3 linked regions of the Arabidopsis thaliana genome follow. The protein of the gene in region 1 interacts with the protein of each later gene in a pairwise test. Each region holds a gene or a part of one and is shown in the gene's direction. Other genes may lie near its edges.

Region 1 (6,927 bases):
TATTGTTTTTCTGGGAAGACCTCATTCTTTAGCGACACTGGCCTCCTCCTATTCTCTTCTAAGGCACACACAGATTAACTGCTGCATCGCTGTTTAAAATTTCCATTCATTTAGAGACACAATACCCGATTGACATACTTTCTTATACTTCTCCTCTCGTCGTATGCCTCCCTGCAGGGTATAACCTTTGAACTTGACGATGAGATGGTTGCAGATGATGATGACCGGGAAGCCCTACAGGATATTGTTAACAACACTAAGTTAAGTGAAGGATATCTGACCCTTGCAAGGGATATTGAGGTCATGGAGGCCAAAACGCCTGAAGACATCTACAAGGTAAATCAGTTTTAATGTGTTAGGCTTGCTACTCATTTATTTAGTTACAAATTATGTTTCCCTCAGTCTTTGACCTGCCCTTTTTGAATTTTATAGGCTCACTTACTCGACGGCAGGGCTAGCTCCGGTGCAAGCGTGGATTCTGCTAGACAGAATTTGGCTGCTACCTTTGTCAATGCATTCGTAAATGCTGGTTTTGGTCAGGTATGGTTGCAGATTATAATAAAATAGATCTAGTGGAAGACGTGTCCTCTTAATATATTTGCTTATCGCAGGACAAACTAATGACAGTACCTTCAGACTCAACCACCGGATCTTCTGGAAACTGGCTCTTCAAAAATAAAGAACATGGCAAGACTAGTGCAGCTGCTAGTCTGGTATACTTTTTCTTATTTGATGAATTTATTTACTGTGCTCAGATCATGGAAGTAAGAATTGTAACCAGATCTTTTTGTTTCCCTATCATATAGGGTATGATTCAACTGTGGGATGTGGACTCTGGACTTTCCCAACTCGACAAATATTTCCATAGTAATGATAATCCTATCATTGCTGGAGCACTGCTGGGAGTTGGGATTGTAAATTGTGGCATTAAGAACGATTGTGATCCTGTGAGTTGCTGTCGTGTTTGATTTTGCTGGGACCATTTGTGCTAATATTTGCAGCCACTCTTCCATCTTACTCAGCCTTATTTCTCAGGCATTGGCACTTCTTGGAGACTATATAGACAAAGAGGATTCATCTGTCAGAATCGGTGCTATCATGGGTCTTGGAATTTCATACGCAGGTTCCCAAAATGACCAGGTACTTGTTATATTCTTTCCCATATTACTACTTGAATGTTTCGGGTGTTCACAAAACTTTAACACGTACACTGTTTCAACAGATTCGAAACAAATTGTCCCCGATACTGAATGATGCAAAAGCGCCTCTTGATGTGATTGCATTTGCTTCACTTTCTTTGGGAATGATATATGTTGGTTCCTGTAACGAAGAAGTAGCCCAGTCTATTATATTTGCTTTGATGGATCGAAGTGAGGCAGAACTGGGTGATGCCCTCACTCGTTTCTTGCCACTTGGTCTTGGACTTCTATACCTGGGCAAACAGGTTAGCAATGTGTTTTACATAATCTCGCTCTTTGTTCGTATATCATTATTTGCATTGCTTGACCAACATCAACTTGTTCCAATATCTACCAGGAAAGTGTAGAGGCTACAGCTGAAGTTTCGAAGACCTTCAATGAGAAGATTAGAAAGTATTGTGATATGACACTTCTTTCTTGTGCTTATGCTGGAACTGGAAATGTCCTAAAGGTATCTAATCAATTGTGCTGGTGGTTGAGTGACATAATTCATTACTTGTTTAGTTGTTGACTCCTACTTATATTTTCAGGTACAAGACCTTCTTGCTCAGTGTGGCGAGCATCTTGAGAAAGGTGACATCCACCAGGGTCCAGCTGTGCTTGGGTTAGCAATGGTTGCTATGTCTGAAGAACTGGGAGTTGATATGGAGATCCGTTCTCTGGAGCGGATGCTACAATACGGAGAACAAAACATTCGGCGTGCTGTGCCTTTGGCCCTTGGTCTCCTTTGTATATCCAATCCAAAGGTAAATACTTTTGTAAATGTAGTTTTACTGCACCTGCTTACAATTATTAGTGGGCGTCTAGAGTAATACTGGGTTTTTAATATTTTTCCCACAATTCCAGGTGACTGTAATGGACACCTTGAGCCGGCTTAGCCATGACACAGATTCGGAAGTTGCCATGGTTAGCAATCATTTCGCTTCATAGCCTGTCCCATATTATTTAGCTGAATAGTATTGAGAGAGGACTGATCTTTCTTTTGACTCGTACAGTCAGCAATTATATCATTGGGACTGATTGGCGCTGGAACTAATAACGCAAGGATAGCCGGGATGCTTCGGAACCTCTCCAGCTATTATTACAAAGACATGAGTCTTCTCTTCTGTGTAATGTGTTCCTCATTTTGGTTTCTGTACCCTGCGGTAAGCTGTTGTTCTTGTTGGAATTATTGTAACTAACTTGGTAAGTCATTATGCAGGTGCGTATTGCTCAAGGGCTTGTGCACATGGGAAAGGGTCTCTTGACACTCAGCCCCTTCCACTCTGAACGGTTCTTGCTATCGCCGTAAGTTCATTCTTTTTGTCACCAATAGAACCAAATCTTTTTTGATAGTTGGATGTTCAAAGGTTTCTCATGCGGACCTTATTTATGCAGAACCGCACTTGCTGGTATAGTGACACTTTTGCATGCATGCCTTGACATGAAACCAATCATACTCGGGAAGTACCATTATGTGCTGTACTTCCTCGTTTTGGCGATGCAAGTGAGTTCAACTTCTGTCCTGTGTTTCTCCCTCTTGTTAGTTAGGTCTGATGAACTTGCTATGATTTGATATTTAATCAAATTTTGTTAAAAAAATGTATAGCCAAGGATGATGTTGACAGTGGATGAAAACCTGAAGCCACTGTCAGTGCCAGTGCGGGTAGGACAAGCAGTTGATGTGGTTGGGCAAGCGGGTCGGCCCAAGACCATAACCGGTTTCCAGACACACTCCACACCTGTTCTCCTGGCTGCTGGAGAGAGAGCCGAACTAGCCACGGACAAGTATGTTATTCTTTTTCCTTTCTTCCTTGTACCCTTTATGTTGCCTACTTAGGTGTCTGATTATAAAACTCGGATTTGTAACTGGCAAACAGATACATTCCTCTGTCGCCAATACTAGAAGGATTCATCATCTTAAAGGAGAACCCAGACTACAGAGAGGAGTGAAGAGAGAGAGCTTCTGCTTCCAGCCAGTTGTCACTAGTTTTACTATTTCGTCTATTATCTCATGGTTTTTCTACTCTCCGTTTAAGCTTTGTTTCATTATCTTGGGATCTTTGTATGACCTGACGCTTTTAGTTATATAAACTTTAGTCTCTTTTTTTTTTTTTTTTTTTTAATCGCCACCAAGTCGACACATATTCTTGCCAAAACCAATATTGACTCAGTTTAAAAAATAACGATCCATAAAATTTTCCAATTACTTTGATCACATAAAAAAAGTGAAGAAATGTTAGCCACTTGCATAGTGCCGTTCAAAGACGCACAAATGAAATTGGGCTTTCCTTTGGCCCAAAAGTGTTGCGATCGCGTTTATAACAAAAGACTAAGGTTTCGTCCAAACTAAGATCGCGTTTATAGGGTTTATCATCATTTCCCGTAATCGTAATCGGAGTTCAGGCTTCAGCATTCTCTCTTCTTCTCTCTCGCAGCCGTAGTTTTTGATCTTCTCTTCAATTCTCTCTCCTGATGGCCACGTCCGCCGTCCTCTCCGGTGCCAGATCGATGCTTCGAGCTGCTTCCTCACGCAGCGCCGCTGCTTCTACTGGCCGCTTCGCCTCTCAAGCGAAATCCGCTCCACCATTGTTTAGAGCCACTGCCAGAAGAAGCCCACTGCTTTCTCCTCTCCGGTTAGTCTCTCTCATACCCATTTCCTTATTTGAGCTCATTTCACAGTTTTGTGCTACTTGAAGCTTGAAATGGGTTAAATTCGATCGAATTGTGAAAAAAAAGAAGGAACTTCTCTATGTAAAAATTACATTTTTGCGTTAATCATGTTTCCAGATCGATTATTCACAAGTAAAAAAGATGAAATTTTGCATTTTGATGTTGATTTTAAATGTGAAACTCTCTTATCACATTACTTAAAAGAATTTGCATTTTTGTTTGTTTTTGATGTGAATAGAAATCCTGTGGAACTGAGCTTCTGTGTGGAGTCATTGTTACCATATCACTCGGCTACAGCTTCAGCGCTAATGACTTCAAAGCTTTCTATCTCTGGCCAAACCTATGGCTGGCTCTCTGACGGTACTTTCTCACATCCTTCAATTTTGTAATGCTTGAATAATGGCTTAAATATGTACTAAATATTGAGTGGAGATATGCTTTGTTTGATTGATGAAATGTGTTTGAGAGCTGTTTCTGTATTGGCTTTCTAGATTGTTGTATTAGACATAGGTAGAGAACTAGTTTAGATTTTGCCATTTAAGAAGCTTTCTCGATCAGTGTAGATTCTTTTTGGTTGTTGCTATGGCGAAAAACTGGATCAGTTGTTGTTGTCTTTCTGCTTAACGTTGTAAAGAGATAGCGGCTCAATTGGTCTAGTTTTTCGATCTTGTAGGCTGACACAAGTGTAGATGGAGACAACGAAGCCAAGATCTGGGTTTTCATGCAAATAATATAAACGATTAGAACGGGTTTCAGGCAATAAGATAGGCTTTAGATACACATCAAGCAATGGTTGATGCTGCATTGTGTTTTAAAAGAACTGGTTCTTACATATCTTCTTAAAAAAAATACATGTACCCGGAAACGTGTCTTCTTTTCTTGTTGGTTATAGCATTTGAGTTATTACTGATTGGTCTTATACTCCCAGCTTGCAATGATGATGTGTGATGAGTTAGCCAGAGGAACAATGAAGCTACAGTTTATGTACAAAACCTCTACCTTTTAAAGCCTTCTTCTTTAGAAAAACTTAGGAACGAAAACCCTCTTAATTTTGTTTCTGAGTTTCTTGGAGAGCTTTTCTTTGTTTTCAGCCTATTAAGTAAGACATGTTGTATTGGTTGGACGAGTAACTGATGTTTGGTATAATTTATCAGCTTGCAAAGAGGACTTTTGATGATGTCTACGCGTACCCAATGCGAGATTGTTGATTGCGAGAGAAGGTTTAAGAGTATTTAGGCAAAGAATAATTGTTGTACTGTTCAAACACAAATCATCTCTTTGTCTTTAGTTTTCATATCAAAGACAAATGTCCAATATCTTTTGAATCAAATCTCTATGATTTCTATTACATCAACATACAAACTCAACAAAATTGCATCACTTCTACTAATTTAAAACTTGGAAACATCCATGAGTTTGAATACTATAAATTATAATCAAGATTCTACCAAATATATATATATATATATATATATATATATATATATATATATATATATATATATATATATATATATATATAATCAAGAATCTCATCAAAATAAGTAGGGAAAAAGTAGCAGATTTGGCAATCAAATTGGCACATTAACTTGTCGACCCTTAAACTTGAAAGAAGGTTTCAAGTTTCTTCTTCTTGTCCCTTGGATCTTATGAAACATTGTATTCTCTGCCAAAGATTCACGACTTGAATGGGCAGCTTTGTTAAAGGATCTCTTTGTCATTAATTTTTCATATTAAAAAAACAGATCCTTTCGAGATATAGAATTACATCTCTGTTGAATGTGGATTGATACAAAGTACAAACACTACAGTTTCTTTGATCCTTAAGTTTCTGCAACCACCACCACTAAAGCTCGCTCTTCTGATGGCTGTGTCTGTTCTTCTTCTTGTGGAACTGTTTCTTCTTCTTGTGGAACTGTTTCTTCTTCCTGCGGGAGTGTTTCTTCTTCTTGCTCATTCTCAACAGGCTCAACTTCCTCGGGAGTTAGCTGTAGATTTTGTCTCCTATACCGAAATATCACCAGGATGATAAAAACTGCAGAACATGAAAGACGTATACGTTATATTTTGATACAAGGCAAACCAAATACTCTGTCAACCATTGGTTAGGTAAATTACCTGCAAATATTCGGGTTCTTATGCTCGTCAAGTTCCAAAACGCTGTCACCGCAGAGCCAGCCAAGATCTTCTTGTGTGAGCAGACTCCCCATGCTTCACCTATTCTCGTTTTCACTCTTTCAACTGCACAAATGAAACTCAAACCAGTTCAAGAATTTAAACCATTGGACCAGTTAAAGACATCTACAAACACTTGACTATTGATTCTAACACAATTGACAATATGTGAATGGGTGCAATTCATTATTCTTCACCTTTTTGGCTAATCTGATGCGTGTAACATGAATACAGCTTTGGGATGGTGAAACTGAGGAAGAAACCTGTTTCAGTAACCATACACACATATCATCATCACAATTCCTATCATGCTTAACAATGTTTCAGCTTATGTTCCAAATGTTAATTACCAAATGCAGATAGCCTCCACAGTGTTATGAGATGACCATACTCAGCTCCAAGTAGCAGAAATGGTGTCACCTGTGACAAAAAGAAAATCAGCAGATGAAAGGGCAAGTAAACCACCAACACATAGCAATCACCAAAACTGATTTGATTTTGTTTACTTTGAGTGTCATTGATGGTTCTCCTGAAAAAAGCTCACTAGTCTTCGAGATAAAAAAGTTGGTTGCAGGAAGCACTCGTCTAGCTGAGCGCAAGACATCATCTTCACTCACATGGAACGCTCTCTTTGTGTCTTCATTTTTCCTAAAAGTAACAACACATTGAAGGATCACACTAACTATTAGCTTATGGAGAATGCCAAACAAAAGAGACCACAGAAGTAAATGTACCTTTGACAAAGAGTGTTTGACAAGAAGGACCCGCAAAGTAACACAAGTCCGAGATTGGAAACCGCCGAGAAAACGCTTCAAAACAAAGAAAAAGGTCATGACTTTCACAAATCTAATTGAGCCTACAAACACAAGCTAGATATTTGGTACCTAAAGTTGACTCCTTT
Region 2 (7,124 bases), on another chromosome or scaffold:
AAGTTTGGCCAACAACACTTAAAACGGAGACACTTGTTTTAAAGAAGAAGATGATGGGGAAATAACTCAAGAACTTGAATTTGTATTCTCCTCCATAAAGTAAGATCTAATGCTCTCTATATAACAAAGATTATTTGTAAATTTTAGGCACTCAAAATTGTTACATTAACTTACTTATTTATAAATACATTTATTAAAAAAAAAATACAAAGAAAACCGATCGAAGTCAATGATGTTCTTCTGTTTATGCTACTTATACGTTAAGCTTGTTGAAGTGATCACATCTACGTCTCACTTCTCCATCTTTTTCGCCTTTAACACCAACCCTGCCTAGTTTCTCCATGGCACGTGCAAAATCCTCGAAGAAAGCCGTCTGATTATTCGCATATAATTCTACAAACGGTCTCGTGCTAGGATCTTTAAACAATATATGGTCGGAAGCTAACAGTCCAAGACCTCGTTTCAAGTTCTTGAAATACATATTATCGAATTTTCCCGGTGTCACCGGATCGAGAAATGCTGCCATCGTCTTATTGGTTTCGAAATTCTTGCATAGATCTTTAAGAACTCCTGCGAATTTCGCGTTGAGTTCTGGATCAACCTTCGGGAATATCCGGTTGCTGAATTCTTTGCAGTGTGAGAATCCGATTGTGTGCCCGCCACTTAACGCAACCAGCTCCTTTAGAGTGAAACCATTCTTCTTGAATATCGATAACATGTCGGGGACGGATTGGTTCGCTAAAGGTAAATTTCCTTTGACTTTATGGGCTTTTGACTCAAAACCATCTTTACGGCCCAGTTTGACTTCATAGAAAGGCCCACCAACCATTGTGACAAGGTCACGTGTGGCCTGAGCCAGGATGTCTGCGCAGGACACCACCCCGGGACAAGACAATTCAAGAGCGGTTTTGATGCGAGTCACAATGTCGAATGCATCTCCCGGAAGCGACTCGTTGAGGTCATCGTCACGTTCGGCTTTGTTGAAAGAATTTGTAGCGATAAGGACGGAAGCATCACATCCTTCCATGAAACAATCATGGAAAAAGAGACGGAGTGTTCCAGCAGCTGTCGTTGGCTGCTGGCCTTGCTTTGGTGTAACGGTTTCACGTACGATTTTATTGAAATCGGGACATGTTTTTTGGTAATAATCTTTTGTTAAATTTGGTGGTGGTGCCGAGTATATAGACGGGACAAAGACTAGGACGACGAAGAGAACATTTATAACCGAAGACATTGTGTATTTCACGAGACTCGTATCGATTTGTGAAAGAAATATTGTTTGTAAAATATGGAAACGGAATTGAAATGTAAAGAGATGTCTATGAGGTAGACTTCTTTATTGAATTGTTATCGGTGAAATATAGAAGCATGTACGTGTGGTTGGAGTTTGGCTTTTGTTATGTTCTTTTTATTTCAGTGATTGGTCTATATTTAGTTTGTTTTTACTTTCATTTTTCATTAGAAACGTTTTCTAACACTAATTCATTATAAAATCGATTGGCTTCTAGGTTAATTAAACCACAAACATGGAATGCATGCTAATTGGGGAAATGTGAAGGTGATTAATCACTCAATTGATTTGTTTTGTATTACTACTCCTGTTTTTGAAAGAATTTTGGAATGGTGATTAATCAACTAAAGCATCTACAGAAAACATTATTGATGGTTAGAGATATGAAAATTTAAATTGATAGGCTAAACATACAAGCAAACTTTTACTTAATCTAATGTTGCTCTTGATTTGAAATATAAACAAAAACAAAATTAAGAAAAATGTTGACTTCTGAGTTCTGACCACTAAAATCATGCAACTGCTTGACAATGGACATGCCATCCATCTTATATCAATTTGTTGCTTACCTTGCCACCACATTTCTAGATTTTTATGTCATCTTGTTGACATTTATTAGTATATAAATTCCTACCATTCTTTCTGACCAACATATGCTAGAACCAAATTATTTGTTGTTAGATATCAATTTTCGCTAACGTGTTACTGTTTATAAAGTATTAAATCATGCCTATATATATTATTATGTTTCATACTCCTCCAAACATTTTGATAAGCTTGATTTTCTTTTTATATATAGTTCAATTTTTGTAATCTCATGTATACGCTATGGCAATGTGTACTGATGACGAAACATTATGTACCTATATGTATCATGTGGTAAGTAGAACATTGTTTGTTTGCTAGAATATGTATGTCGCTTATCGTTTTGAAAAAGACTCACCAGCATATATATAATATGCAACTGTGAAGCATAATATCAATGAGGAAACGTGAAGTGCACCAAGGGATAATCTAATTTGATACCTTTTATTTGAAGAATATATGACGTCCGATCCATTAATGCTTTATATGCATCTAGCCATCGACATGGATCTAGACCTTTCAATAATTGACGACTCCTCCGTTTTCTTTTTATAATATCAAAAATTGGGACATTGGTTATATTGGAAGAGTGGTGAAGGATTTATCCTATACATCAAACCTAGATATGAATCCCAACCAACTATGGACCGCTATTGTTCTCTCTTTGTTTTTTTTTTTTGCTATGAAACTATGGACCGCTATTGTTAGCTTTTTATTTAGTTATTGTAAACATCTTAAATGAAAAAAAAAAAGAAATACTCGGTTCACTATATGCATCATGTAATAATAATCTAGGTTTTGGCCCAAGATCTATCTAAGTTATAATTAAAACGAAAAAAAAAAACAAAAAAAAAAAATTGAAAAAGAAAATTGTTAGGTAGCTAAAACCCTCAGGTACTACAAGATTAACGAATACATCTACAGATTATTCATCTGGAACATGCAAATATGTGATGTATCGACTGATCTAAAATGGATTAGTTTGGTTGAAAGACGGTTTGGTTTAGTTAGGTTGGAAGGGTCTTTGGGAAGAGTGTTACATCGTTCACATCTTTTAATTTTGATTCAGTCTCTAAATTATACTATATAGTCTATATTGCAACTGAAGAATGATTGAAAGAGTACTAGTACTAAGGAAAAAAATAGAAGTAGATGCAAAAAAAAAATGGTAACATTAGTGTGAATCATGCATATAATGTTGAAAGCTTTAAAAAGACCCACAAGTCTTTGTACCCTTTCGTCCCCCTCCCCTCTAAAACCTCATCTTCCCCATTTATTTCTCCCATTCTTTCTCCTTTTCTTTTTCAGTTCTTAATTCATACTTGAAAAAATCAATACATTTTCATCATCATCAGCATCATCATTTCCCATATACACAAACACACATGCATGCCCTTATTATCTGATAATGAACGCATAGGTCTCTTCTCTGATAGCTCAATGGCGATTCAAGCTCAGCATCCTTCACGTTTCTTCTTCAACAACAGGTAAAAATCTTCATATAATCATATAGTAATAGTATACGCCCTGTGTATTTATTATGTATGTGATGTTTTCAATTTCTTATGAAAATTTATTGAACAGTAACGGACAAGAAGCTAGTGATTGTTCGTTGCAGCCTCAAGACACTCCTTTCACTAATTTCACCAAAGCTGGTCTCTCTTCTCATTATTCCCATATCGTTTCCAAATTTTTTCCTTCAATTCCATTCAATCATCACCGTTTTTGAAACAGGGGTTGATTCAAGAAAACGATCAAGAGAAGTTTATTCATCGGCTCTGATGAACCCTCCACCTCCAAAACCGTCGCAAGTTATTGATATAACCGAGTTGTTGCAGAAAACGCCTAACGTGGTTTCCACTGGTCTTCGATTATTTCATGATCAGTCACAGAATCAACAACAGTTTTTTTCTTCTCTTCCCGGAGATGTTACCGGAAAGATTAAACGGCAAAGAGATGAACTAGACAGATTCATTCAGACTCAGGTGTCTTATTAAACTCGACCTAAAATGTGGTTTGGTTTGTTTTTTCTTTGTGTTGATAATTTGATTTTGCAGGGTGAAGAGTTGCGGCGTACGTTAGCGGATAACAGAGAGAGACGCTACGTAGAGTTATTGTGCGCTGCGGAGGAGATAGTCGGACGGAAATTGAGAAAAAAAGAAGCGGAGTTGGAGAAAGCCACGCGCCGTCACGCTGAGCTAGAAGCGCGTGTAGCTCACATCGTGGAAGAGGCGCGAAACTGGCAGTTAAGAGCGGCGACGCGGGAAGCTGAGGTGTCCTCGTTACATGCTCATCTCCAACAAGCCATAGCTAACCGCCTAGATACGGCGGCGAAACAGAGTACGTTCGGAGAAGACGGCGGAGACGCGGAAGAAGCAGAGGACGCTGAATCGGTTTACGTGGATCCGGAGCGGATCGAATTGATCGGACCAAGTTGTAGGATTTGCCGGCGGAAATCTGCGACGGTGATGGCATTGCCGTGTCAACATTTGATTCTTTGTAATGGATGCGACGTCGGAGCAGTGCGAGTCTGTCCGATTTGCCTCGCCGTGAAGACTTCCGGTGTCGAAGTTTTATTTTGATGATGATGAGTATTTAATTGATAGGCCCGTTATAGGCCCATGGGTCCATCCAGATCTAAGCAACAAACAAGACAACAGTACAGAAAAAGGACGTTTTCTATAGGCAAAAATAAAGATTGAAAATGAGATTTGAATTATATATAGTTGATGATGTACATAGGACATAGCCACATGTAGTGGCATTTTTTTCGTTTTGACATCTTCGTTTACTTTCTTTCTTTTGGATATTCTTCGCTTTTTTTTTCAGAAAACGTTTTGAAGAAATTGCTAAAATTGAATTCATTTACGTTAGAAATCTTACTATATTATTTGGGAAGTACATTTTAAATGTAACCTTACTTTTTGTAAATAATTACATAGGTATACCATTAGAAATAAAATTTTAAAGAGTAAATTAATTTATCTGTTTAAGGATTAAAAAGTCAAATACTAATTTAATTAATTAAATTTAATTAAAAAACGAAATACATTTTTAATTTCCAAAAACAATAACCAATCAAAATCAACATATAAGATTTGATATCTAAATTTTAATTAATTTAATTTAATTAGAAAAACGAAATACATTATTAATTTCCAAAAAAATAAACAATTAAAATTAACAAATTAGATTTGATATCTAAATTATCATATTAATTTTTTATTAATTATTATAGTTCACTTCTCATCTTTATATGATTCTATTTTTGCGAAAAAATAATATCATCATTATAAAAAAATAATTAGAGTTTTTTCGCATATGCCATAATTTGAATTTTTAAAAACGAATATAAACTGTTCAATACATGAAAAATATTATAACGGGTGAAAATAGATTTAAGAAAACTTTCTACTGAGTTAACAGGTCATAATTTGAAATATTTATATTCAATTTTATACATATTATATTAAAAAATTATAATCTTATATACTACAATAATTAATAAGATATTAGATTTTTTATGTGTATGATGTGATTCAATTTTTAACAAGCTGGAAAATCGTAAAATTGACGGGTTTAGATCGATATTAATACAAGATGGTATACTACAGGTGAAAGTCTTAAATTAACAATCAAACTACAAGTGTATAATCTTAGTTTTTTCAGTAAAGCTAAGATTGAATCCAAATTAAAATCTAATTTTGCATACAATCTATCTCTTATAATTATAAATGTTATGCATACATTCACATTGCCTCACAATCAATATAGAATATCGATTATTTCGAACAATAGATAGAGATTCATAAGTAAATTACTTCATGTTCTAATGATATTTATCTCCTAATATTACTATCCATTTATGCGTATTCTTATGGATTTTTCTTTCAGGATCAACATTAGATTACAAGAAAATAGATGATAGTTATACAATCTTAAAAATAAACAAAACAAATATTACTTAATTTGATTTTTTATTTTTAACTAAAATCAACAAATTTATTAGTTTATAATAAACCAAATACTATTACCTAACCATATAAAAACCAAATACTATTATACTTTAATTATAAAAACTCTATTTTATTGAAAGGTATACACTAAAAATCGGTTTTATATACTACAATATCATAAATTTATAAATCGCAAATTATTTTTAAATATATTAATCGAAGATGTACCACATGTCAATCTCTCGATTTTTTATATATTACAATAACAATATTTAAAAATAACAAAATAATTTTTCATTTTACGGAATGAAGTTATATGGTGGAACGAGTTTGGGTTGATATTAATATGGGACGATAATCTATGAGTGAAATCTTAGTTAATAATTATAACATAATTATACAATCTTAAACATTAAACAATATAAACAATATTTACAAAATAACTATATCTTAAAATTTGAATTTTTAGTTACAAGAAAAATCGACCAACAGTGTACCACAGAGTAAATTTTACATTATATAATCTAATTGATCAAATTTTAAACAAAAACAATCAATTTATATATACATCAAACTAACAAAAGTACACAGATTTTTCCAAATATCTCTATATTATTCCGCCAAATCGAAACAAATCCAAAAATCCTATTTACTATGCAAAATACAAATAAAATATAAATAATATAAATTAATAAAATATCTATTTTATCATAAATAACACTATATACTTTTCTATGCTTATTATAATTTACAAACTATAATATCTTTCACTAAAAATGTATTTCAATACATTTCTTAAAATTGAAACCTCGCACATATGTGCGGGTTATAATCTAGTTAATTAGAATATTATGGATTATGAAGATATGCACGAATAAAAAATTGTGTAGAAAAAATTAAGGATAAGAATTGTGATGGGTTCAAAAACCATGTATACCTCAACATGTGTTGTTTCTAGTTTTGTTGGGTTAAGGCCTTAAATGTGGGAAATGCTTCCTATTTTTAGGTTTTAGTTATTGTTTGTTTTTATCTATTTAAGTTGTTTACGTTTGTAACATAAACTGAAATTAACTTATGTTTTGTTAAGCTTTTGATCGGGACCATTATCAAATTGTAAGAACCTCGTGGCTAGCGACATCACGTAGTATCCTGATGCTCATGCTGTTTCCAAGTATCCCATTTGTTAGCATAGATCGTCATTAGAATAATAGCTCTTGAAGACATAATATATTCCATAGATTGAGAATTGGACTTTGAAAATGTTACATTAGTTAGCTTCAAATTTTTGAGTA
Region 3 (6,822 bases), on another chromosome or scaffold:
TCTTCAATGCGAAGCTCCTCAGTGTAAACAGGTAACTAAATATTGCTTTATAGTTATACCCTCCGTATAAATTAGATATGTGCATGCATTCTCTGGATGGACTTGAAAAATGAAAACTATACTCAACGTAATTTTTTTGAATCATATCATACATTCATACTTAACGATACTTTTGTACTGAATAAACCGGGAAAATCGATATACAAAAAATACATTTAAATTATACTAACAAATAATTCGCATTTTTACTTTGTTCAAAACAAGATCTAATCAGAACATACATAAATGTTTCAAATCGAAAGAAAAAAAATGGTTAGTATTTGGACTTGATTATTTTTAACAAAACAAGAAATTTAAAACCAAAACCGAAATACGAACCGAATGTCAGGCGTAATGTGAATGCCTCTACGTCAATTTTTGGATCCATCTACACAAAAGATGTGAATGTGAACTTCGTTTTTGGCGTGTTATTACACCATGATCGAGAAGTCTAGTCACGGGTTTTGGACCTTTTGGTACCATGAGTCTAAGTCACGGGTATATTATTATTTATACAAGAAATTTATAAACAATCCAACTAGTAGAGCATATTTTACTGTTTGAACTTTGATCTATATATATACTTTGTCGTCATGCTAGTTAGGTTTTGCCTATAATACAAAAACGCCACTTACAACTGCAATTAAATAACGTAACACATCGTTAGTAGCGCAATTTAATAACCAGATCCAAGATGGATAAAACAATTCTTTATGGAAATACGTTGTTAAACTCAAAGAACAAAAAAAATTCTAAATATTAATCAATAAAGAGTTTTTTTTATTGCAGGCTCCAAATCCAAGTTGCACAGTAAGCAAATCATGTGGTTTCAACATGACCTACGGTGGTTCAACCATCGAAGCATATCTGACACAAGACACACTAACATTGGCCAGTGACGTCATCCCAAACTACACCTTTGGGTGCATCAACAAAGCTAGTGGAACATCGTTGCCAGCGCAAGGACTCATGGGCTTAGGTCGTGGTCCATTGTCTTTAATCTCACAGTCACAAAATCTTTATCAGTCTACATTCTCGTATTGCTTGCCTAATAGTAAGTCCAGCAATTTCTCCGGATCACTAAGATTGGGACCTAAGAACCAACCGATCCGGATCAAGACCACTCCATTGTTAAAGAACCCTAGAAGATCATCGCTTTACTATGTTAACTTGGTTGGGATTCGTGTCGGAAACAAAATTGTGGATATTCCTACAAGTGCACTCGCCTTTGATCCGGCCACCGGAGCCGGCACCATCTTTGACTCGGGTATGGACTTCTCAACCCTCCTTAATATTTTTTATTTTTCGCTTGAGAACTGAAAAGTCGTGCGATGGAAGTAACCTAATTGCTCTGCTCTCTCACACGTAACACGTGATATTTCTGGACTAAAAATGATTTTACAATCAAAACAAAAATGGCCAATCCAAATTTTCATATAAAAATTATATTTTAGAAAAGAAATTTGATTTTTAATTACAAAACACTTTTGAATGTACGCAGGGACGGTCTACACAAGGCTAGTCGAACCAGCTTACGTGGCGGTGAGAAACGAGTTCAGGAGACGTGTTAAGAACGCAAACGCAACTTCACTAGGAGGTTTCGACACATGCTACTCCGGCTCCGTCGTGTTCCCGTCGGTGACGTTTATGTTCGCCGGAATGAACGTGACTCTGCCTCCAGACAACCTTCTCATCCACAGCTCCGCAGGTAACCTCAGCTGCCTCGCCATGGCTGCAGCTCCGGTCAACGTTAACTCTGTCCTTAACGTCATCGCTAGTATGCAGCAACAGAACCACCGAGTTCTCATCGACGTTCCAAATTCCAGGCTCGGAATTTCCCGTGAAACTTGCACCTAAGTTTTATCGATTTGTATTTTTGTTTTCGGTCGATTTCGTAATGCGTTTTGAACTTTTGAATTTTGGAAACTATATAAGTTAATGATTTTTGTTAATTCTCAAACGATTGTAAAATCTTTCGTATGATTTTCTTTCGATGTTCTCTGTTCAAAAAGGATTGTACTCATGAATTTGCGGATGCAATAAGCCTGGAACAGAGGACCTTTATTATTTTAAATATATATATGTTCCAACTTCCAAGTATAATCATATGCATCAACTTCATGAGAAAGTACCAAAATGTCAACAAAAAATGATTATGCCTTGGAAGGCATTTTCATCACCCAAATGAGACTGAGAAGTTCTAAATGGCGCGTTAAAAATCTACGATGATAATCTTGTAGACCCCAAAATGTCCGATGTGCTGCCTTGAAGTTGCATAGTTCATCATACTCCACTAACGAGGAAACACATTCACTCTTACAACAAAACTTCTCTCATATAGGTAAGAAAAAAGGTGTGAAAATTAAAGACTTGTCCTAATATTTGGTACTTGTAATATTTGGATGACTTGATAATTAACCAAAGATTTTAGTGAACACTAACCCACAAAATTTCTGAATGTTTTGAAAGATATACACTTTCAATAAGTGAAAAAGGAACAACCCCGAATTAGTATCTTTGCGCAAACATGAGAGAAGAAAAAGAGTGGAACATAGAATGGGTGAGAGAGTGACAAGTGTAAACCCCACTTCCATTAGGTTCATTCCCATCTTTGCCAAATGGATTTTGCGGTTTGGCTTGACATCAACGCTAACAGCCAGACTCACTCCACCATACACCTAAAAAGAGAAAAAAAGCATACAAAAAGGCTTTTATAGCTAAATGAATAAAAGCATTTGCATCAGAAGATTTTTGAAATCATTATTGTGAAAAAATAAAATCAAAAGTAAAACCTTTTTTCAAGTTGACAAATAAAAGAAAAGAAACCCTATTTTTCAATGGTAACCCACTTTCTCACATTTTTCTCTTTATTCTCCTCTATAGTATGTGTGTGTGACGGGTTGCTCCACTAACTTTTGTGAAGGTAAGTATAAAGCCGGTGCAATTATGCGTTTCTCTGTTTGTATTTGTAATCTTTATACAAACCATAAATTGGAACAAAGACTAAAATGACAGTAACAATATAAGTGAAAAACATAATTTCATTAGCTTTAAGTCACGAGGCACGACCATTGAACATGCGAGAAACGCGTGTACCCAAACTCATTGGTTAGTTTTGAGAGCAGCAGCGTATTCTTACACAGTTCTCATATGTTTAACTCCATTCACTCTCTCAAAAGGTTCCCATCTTTATCAAAAGACTTGCTAAAATCTTCTCTTTCTTTCTCCTTTCATCACACTCTTGAGTCCTTGTCTCTGTTTTTAGTCACCTGAAGAAAAAATATATGGAGAACGGAGAATCTAACCAAGAAAATCTCAAATCTCTCAACCACGACGAATCGCTTAAGAAGCCATCTGCTTCCTCCGTCGTTGTAGATAGGTTAAAACGTGATGAATGGAGCGAAGGAGCTGTTTCGACTTTACTCGAAGCTTATGAGTCAAAATGGGTTCTCAGAAACAGAGCCAAGCTTAAGGGACAAGACTGGGAAGACGTGGCTAAACACGTGTCCTCACGCGCCACTCACACCAAGTCACCAAAGACTCAGACTCAGTGCAAGAACAAGATCGAGTCCATGAAGAAACGGTACCGTTCTGAGTCCGCTACTGCTGATGGCTCCTCTTGGCCTCTTTATCCTCGTCTTGATCATCTCCTACGTGGAACTCAGCCTCAGCCTCAGCCTCAAGCTGTTCTGCCTCTGAATTGCTCTGTTCCTCTGCTCTTACTTGAGCCGCCGTTGCCTGCGGTGGCTCATCCGCCGCAGATTTCTTACGGATCCAACGGCGTCGGCAAGATTCCTAAGGTCTGATCACCTAAACTAACCAAATTTGGGAGATTTTCTAATGAAGTTATTTTGTGTGTAGGAAGACGGATTCAAGCCGGAGAACAAACCGGAAAAAGATGCGGAGATGGATACAGACAGTAGTACGCCTGTGGTTAAAACGAAGGTGAGAGGGAAGAAAGTGAAGAGAAGATATAAAGAAGAGAAGGAAGAGATCGCCGGAAGTATACGGTGGTTAGCGGAGGTGGTGATGAGATCAGAGAGAGCAAGAATGGAGACGATGAAAGAGATAGAGAGAATGAGAGCTGAAGCTGAAGCTAAGAGAGGAGAATTGGATTTGAAACGGACGGAGATAATGGCGAATACTCAGCTAGAGATTGCTAGAATCTTTGCTGCTGCAGCTTCTTCTGGACAGAACAAAGGTGTTGATTCTTCATTAAGGATCGGAAGAAATTGAGTTCTGCTTTTTATATTGGAGACTCAAGATGTTGTGTGTACATACCAAGTGTTGTTTTGTCAAAATTTCTCAGAGAGAGACCAATAATTGTTTCCTGGGGTAGATGGCGATTTCCACATTTCTACCAGCAAATGTATGCTTTTGCCATATGAATATCATCAATCTTTAGTCAAAGAGATGCTAATACTGTCTCAAATTTGTGTGTGTTTAAGTGTTTTAACTCTTCAGGTAGAGATTTACAGAGAATGCTTGGTAGATAGTTCGGTTCGATCAGTTTGGTCGTGTTAGAGATTGTAGTGAAAGAGAAAATAAGTCTTAGCAAAAGAATGCGAGACAACTGTCTAGTATTAGTGGAGATGAACCAGCTTTTTCTCTTTGCATTTCTAATATGGAGTTTTTTTTGGATGGGAAATTGCACTATGATAGTATGATTAGTGGTTCTAGTCTATGTGTTTTGAATGTTAGCAGTTAGATTCTTGTTAGGGATAGTTGATGAAAAGAAACCTAAATTTGTAGTGGTGGACACATTGTTCTCTGCTGTCTAGAGAGTGGCCGTGACTACTAGACCCACCAACCGGCCTAAGCTTGCCTGTATAGGGGTGGGAAAAAATAGAATAACACCAAAAATGAAATGCTCAAATGACAAAATCAAAATTGATTTCCTTCAAATATATCTAACTAGACTATTGTTTGTAAAAAAACAAAACAGAACCGAATCGTAATTGCACAAATGACTAAACCATATATTCTTCCCAAAAAAAAAAGACCAAACCGTATACGAAAGGTTTGATTTGGTATCGATTTAAAAAGAAAATCTGCAAAACCGGAAAGAAAAACAAAACAAAACTTAAAATCAAATTTTCCAAAACTATATATGTAAATTACAAAGTGTAGGGAAATGTGAAATGTTCTAGATTCTTACTTGAGTTGAATTTTGAATGCTGCATTTGTAGAAATGCAAATTTGTGTACAAGTCAGAACCGGTGTAAATTAAATTGACCCGGTTGCCGCCAGATTTAATTCGCTGAGAGTACTGTACCGGATTTGGTTCTCTTCCGGTTTATTCCAAATAATAGTTCGGTAACAGCTTTGATTGGTTCGTTTCTTCAGAGTCTGGTTTGGGACTTGGGAGGGAAGAAGATCTCGTTCCCTCTAAGCCATGAATCGTCGTAATCGTGGCTCTTCTTCTTCTTCTTCTAGGGTTTCGAATACTTATGGGAACCGCCAGTTCTCTGATAACCCGAGGACTGGATCCGGCGGCGGAGTTAATGAATCCTTTCAGAGAAGATCCGATGCACCGCACAAACGAAACAATGAAAAAGACGAATCAAAACATAAAGACGAAGATCCTGCTGACGTTTCATTGATTGTAGGAACTTGTTCTTCTATGTGCCCAGGTAATCATCGAACTACGTTAGCTGCAGATAAATTACCAATTGACCTGAGATTCCGCTAAAATTCAACCCTATCCTGCACCTGAATTGGATTTGATCTAGTTCTTAGGTCAATTAGGTACTTTCCCTTCATCAATTCATGATCCTTCCGTGCATCGGCAGTTCAGAACAAAGAATTATCTTTTGCTAGGGGTTTAGGTAAAAAATTACACTTGAAGTACCAAAAAGAGTGTGTACAGCTTCATCTAATATGTTGTTTTTGGTATCAATAGAGAGGGAAAGAGTCACAAGAGAACGCCTGCGTGATCTTGCAGTGTTTGAGAGGCTTTATGGAAACCCCTCAAAATCATCCACAGAGATAGCTGTCAAAAAGGTGCGGTTCACATTGTACAGCTTTGAGTTTTCATGTCTCTGGTGCTAATGTGGGAAACTTTCACCTTCAGCTTTCTATATTTGACATGTCGTATCTATTCTTCGAGAGAACTTGTTATTGAAAGAAATTTGATGTTGAAATTCTTCATCTATGCAAATTAGAATCCATAACTTATTGGTCAAGATGAATAGTTTGTACTACTTATTGGGAGATACCAGCTGCTATGCAATGAGGTTCATTTTTTTCCAATACCAACGGCATTTATACTCTCTTTCTGTGTTCTTGCTAGTTTTGCAGAACCCTTTCAGCGGCGGATGTTCAGGCATCGGATGTAAGACCGCTCCCAGTTTTAGAAGAAACCCTGAGATACCTTCTAAGTTTGCTCGACTCCAAGGAGCACCCGTTTGAAGTGGTTCATGATTTTATTTTCGATAGGACAAGGTCTATTAGACAAGATCTTAGCATCCAGAATTTGGCCAATGAGAGAGTGATCTACCTTTATGAGGAAATGGTATGGTTTGACTTTTTTCTAACTCTTTTCTCTTTCCTGGTTCGGTAAATGAATTACACTGAGCATGTCTATTTTGTCTTTAGAATTGCTTTCCTTGGGTTTTGTTGACAGTCGTTTGTGTGTTTAACCCTCTGCTATTACCAAAAGAATATTTGTAAGTTTAAGATATTTTGACTTAATGTGTTGATTGTAGTTTACATAGTCGTAATCTTAATCAGGATGCTCAAATAGGATCATTTTTCTTCTTTTGTAATTTTCATAGAAATATA

Evidence for each region.
Region 2: the proteins of NFD6 (region 1) and AT4G17680 interact in a two-hybrid assay, tested with the Arabidopsis thaliana proteins (one large-scale study listed by BioGRID).
Region 3: the proteins of NFD6 (region 1) and AT3G54390 interact in a two-hybrid assay, tested with the Arabidopsis thaliana proteins (one large-scale study listed by BioGRID).

Annotation. Positions count from the first base shown.
Region 1 is NC_003071.7:8,861,569-8,868,495, forward strand, and holds NFD6 (nuclear fusion defective 6), read left to right. Parts: upstream 1-3,529; 5' UTR 3,530-3,653; coding exon 3,654-3,814; intron 3,815-4,089; coding exon 4,090-4,240; 3' UTR 4,241-4,524; coding exon of another isoform or gene 4,525-4,529; 3' UTR 4,530-4,779; coding exon of another isoform or gene 4,780-4,799; 3' UTR 4,800-5,005; coding exon of another isoform or gene 5,006-5,025; 3' UTR 5,026-5,207; downstream 5,208-6,927. Other genes in the region: RPN1A (26S proteasome regulatory subunit S2 1A), read left to right, coding at 178-336, 433-540, 612-713, 807-947, 1,036-1,140, 1,223-1,444, 1,537-1,650, 1,730-1,945 and 6 more; AT2G20590 (Reticulon family protein), read right to left, coding at 5,675-5,886, 5,970-6,092, 6,224-6,289, 6,377-6,446, 6,533-6,674, 6,761-6,835, 6,911-6,927.
Region 2 is NC_003075.7:9,840,237-9,847,360, reverse strand, and holds AT4G17680 (SBP (S-ribonuclease binding protein) family protein), read left to right. Parts: upstream 1-3,026; 5' UTR 3,027-3,265; coding exon 3,266-3,363; intron 3,364-3,460; coding exon 3,461-3,531; exon of another isoform or gene 3,532-3,610; coding exon 3,611-3,861; exon of another isoform or gene 3,862-3,885; coding exon of another isoform or gene 3,886-3,933; coding exon 3,934-4,458; 3' UTR 4,459-4,751; downstream 4,752-7,124. Other genes in the region: AT4G17690 (Peroxidase superfamily protein), read right to left, coding at 254-1,234.
Region 3 is NC_003074.8:20,135,365-20,142,186, reverse strand, and holds AT3G54390 (sequence-specific DNA binding transcription factor), read left to right. Parts: upstream 1-2,942; 5' UTR 2,943-3,189; coding exon 3,190-3,218; exon of another isoform or gene 3,219-3,304; coding exon 3,305-3,839; intron 3,840-3,900; coding exon 3,901-4,275; 3' UTR 4,276-4,449; downstream 4,450-6,822. Other genes in the region: AT3G54400 (Eukaryotic aspartyl protease family protein), read left to right, coding at 1-31, 829-1,306, 1,541-1,896; SAC3C (SAC3/GANP/Nin1/mts3/eIF-3 p25 family), read left to right, coding at 5,435-5,672, 5,942-6,042, 6,332-6,553.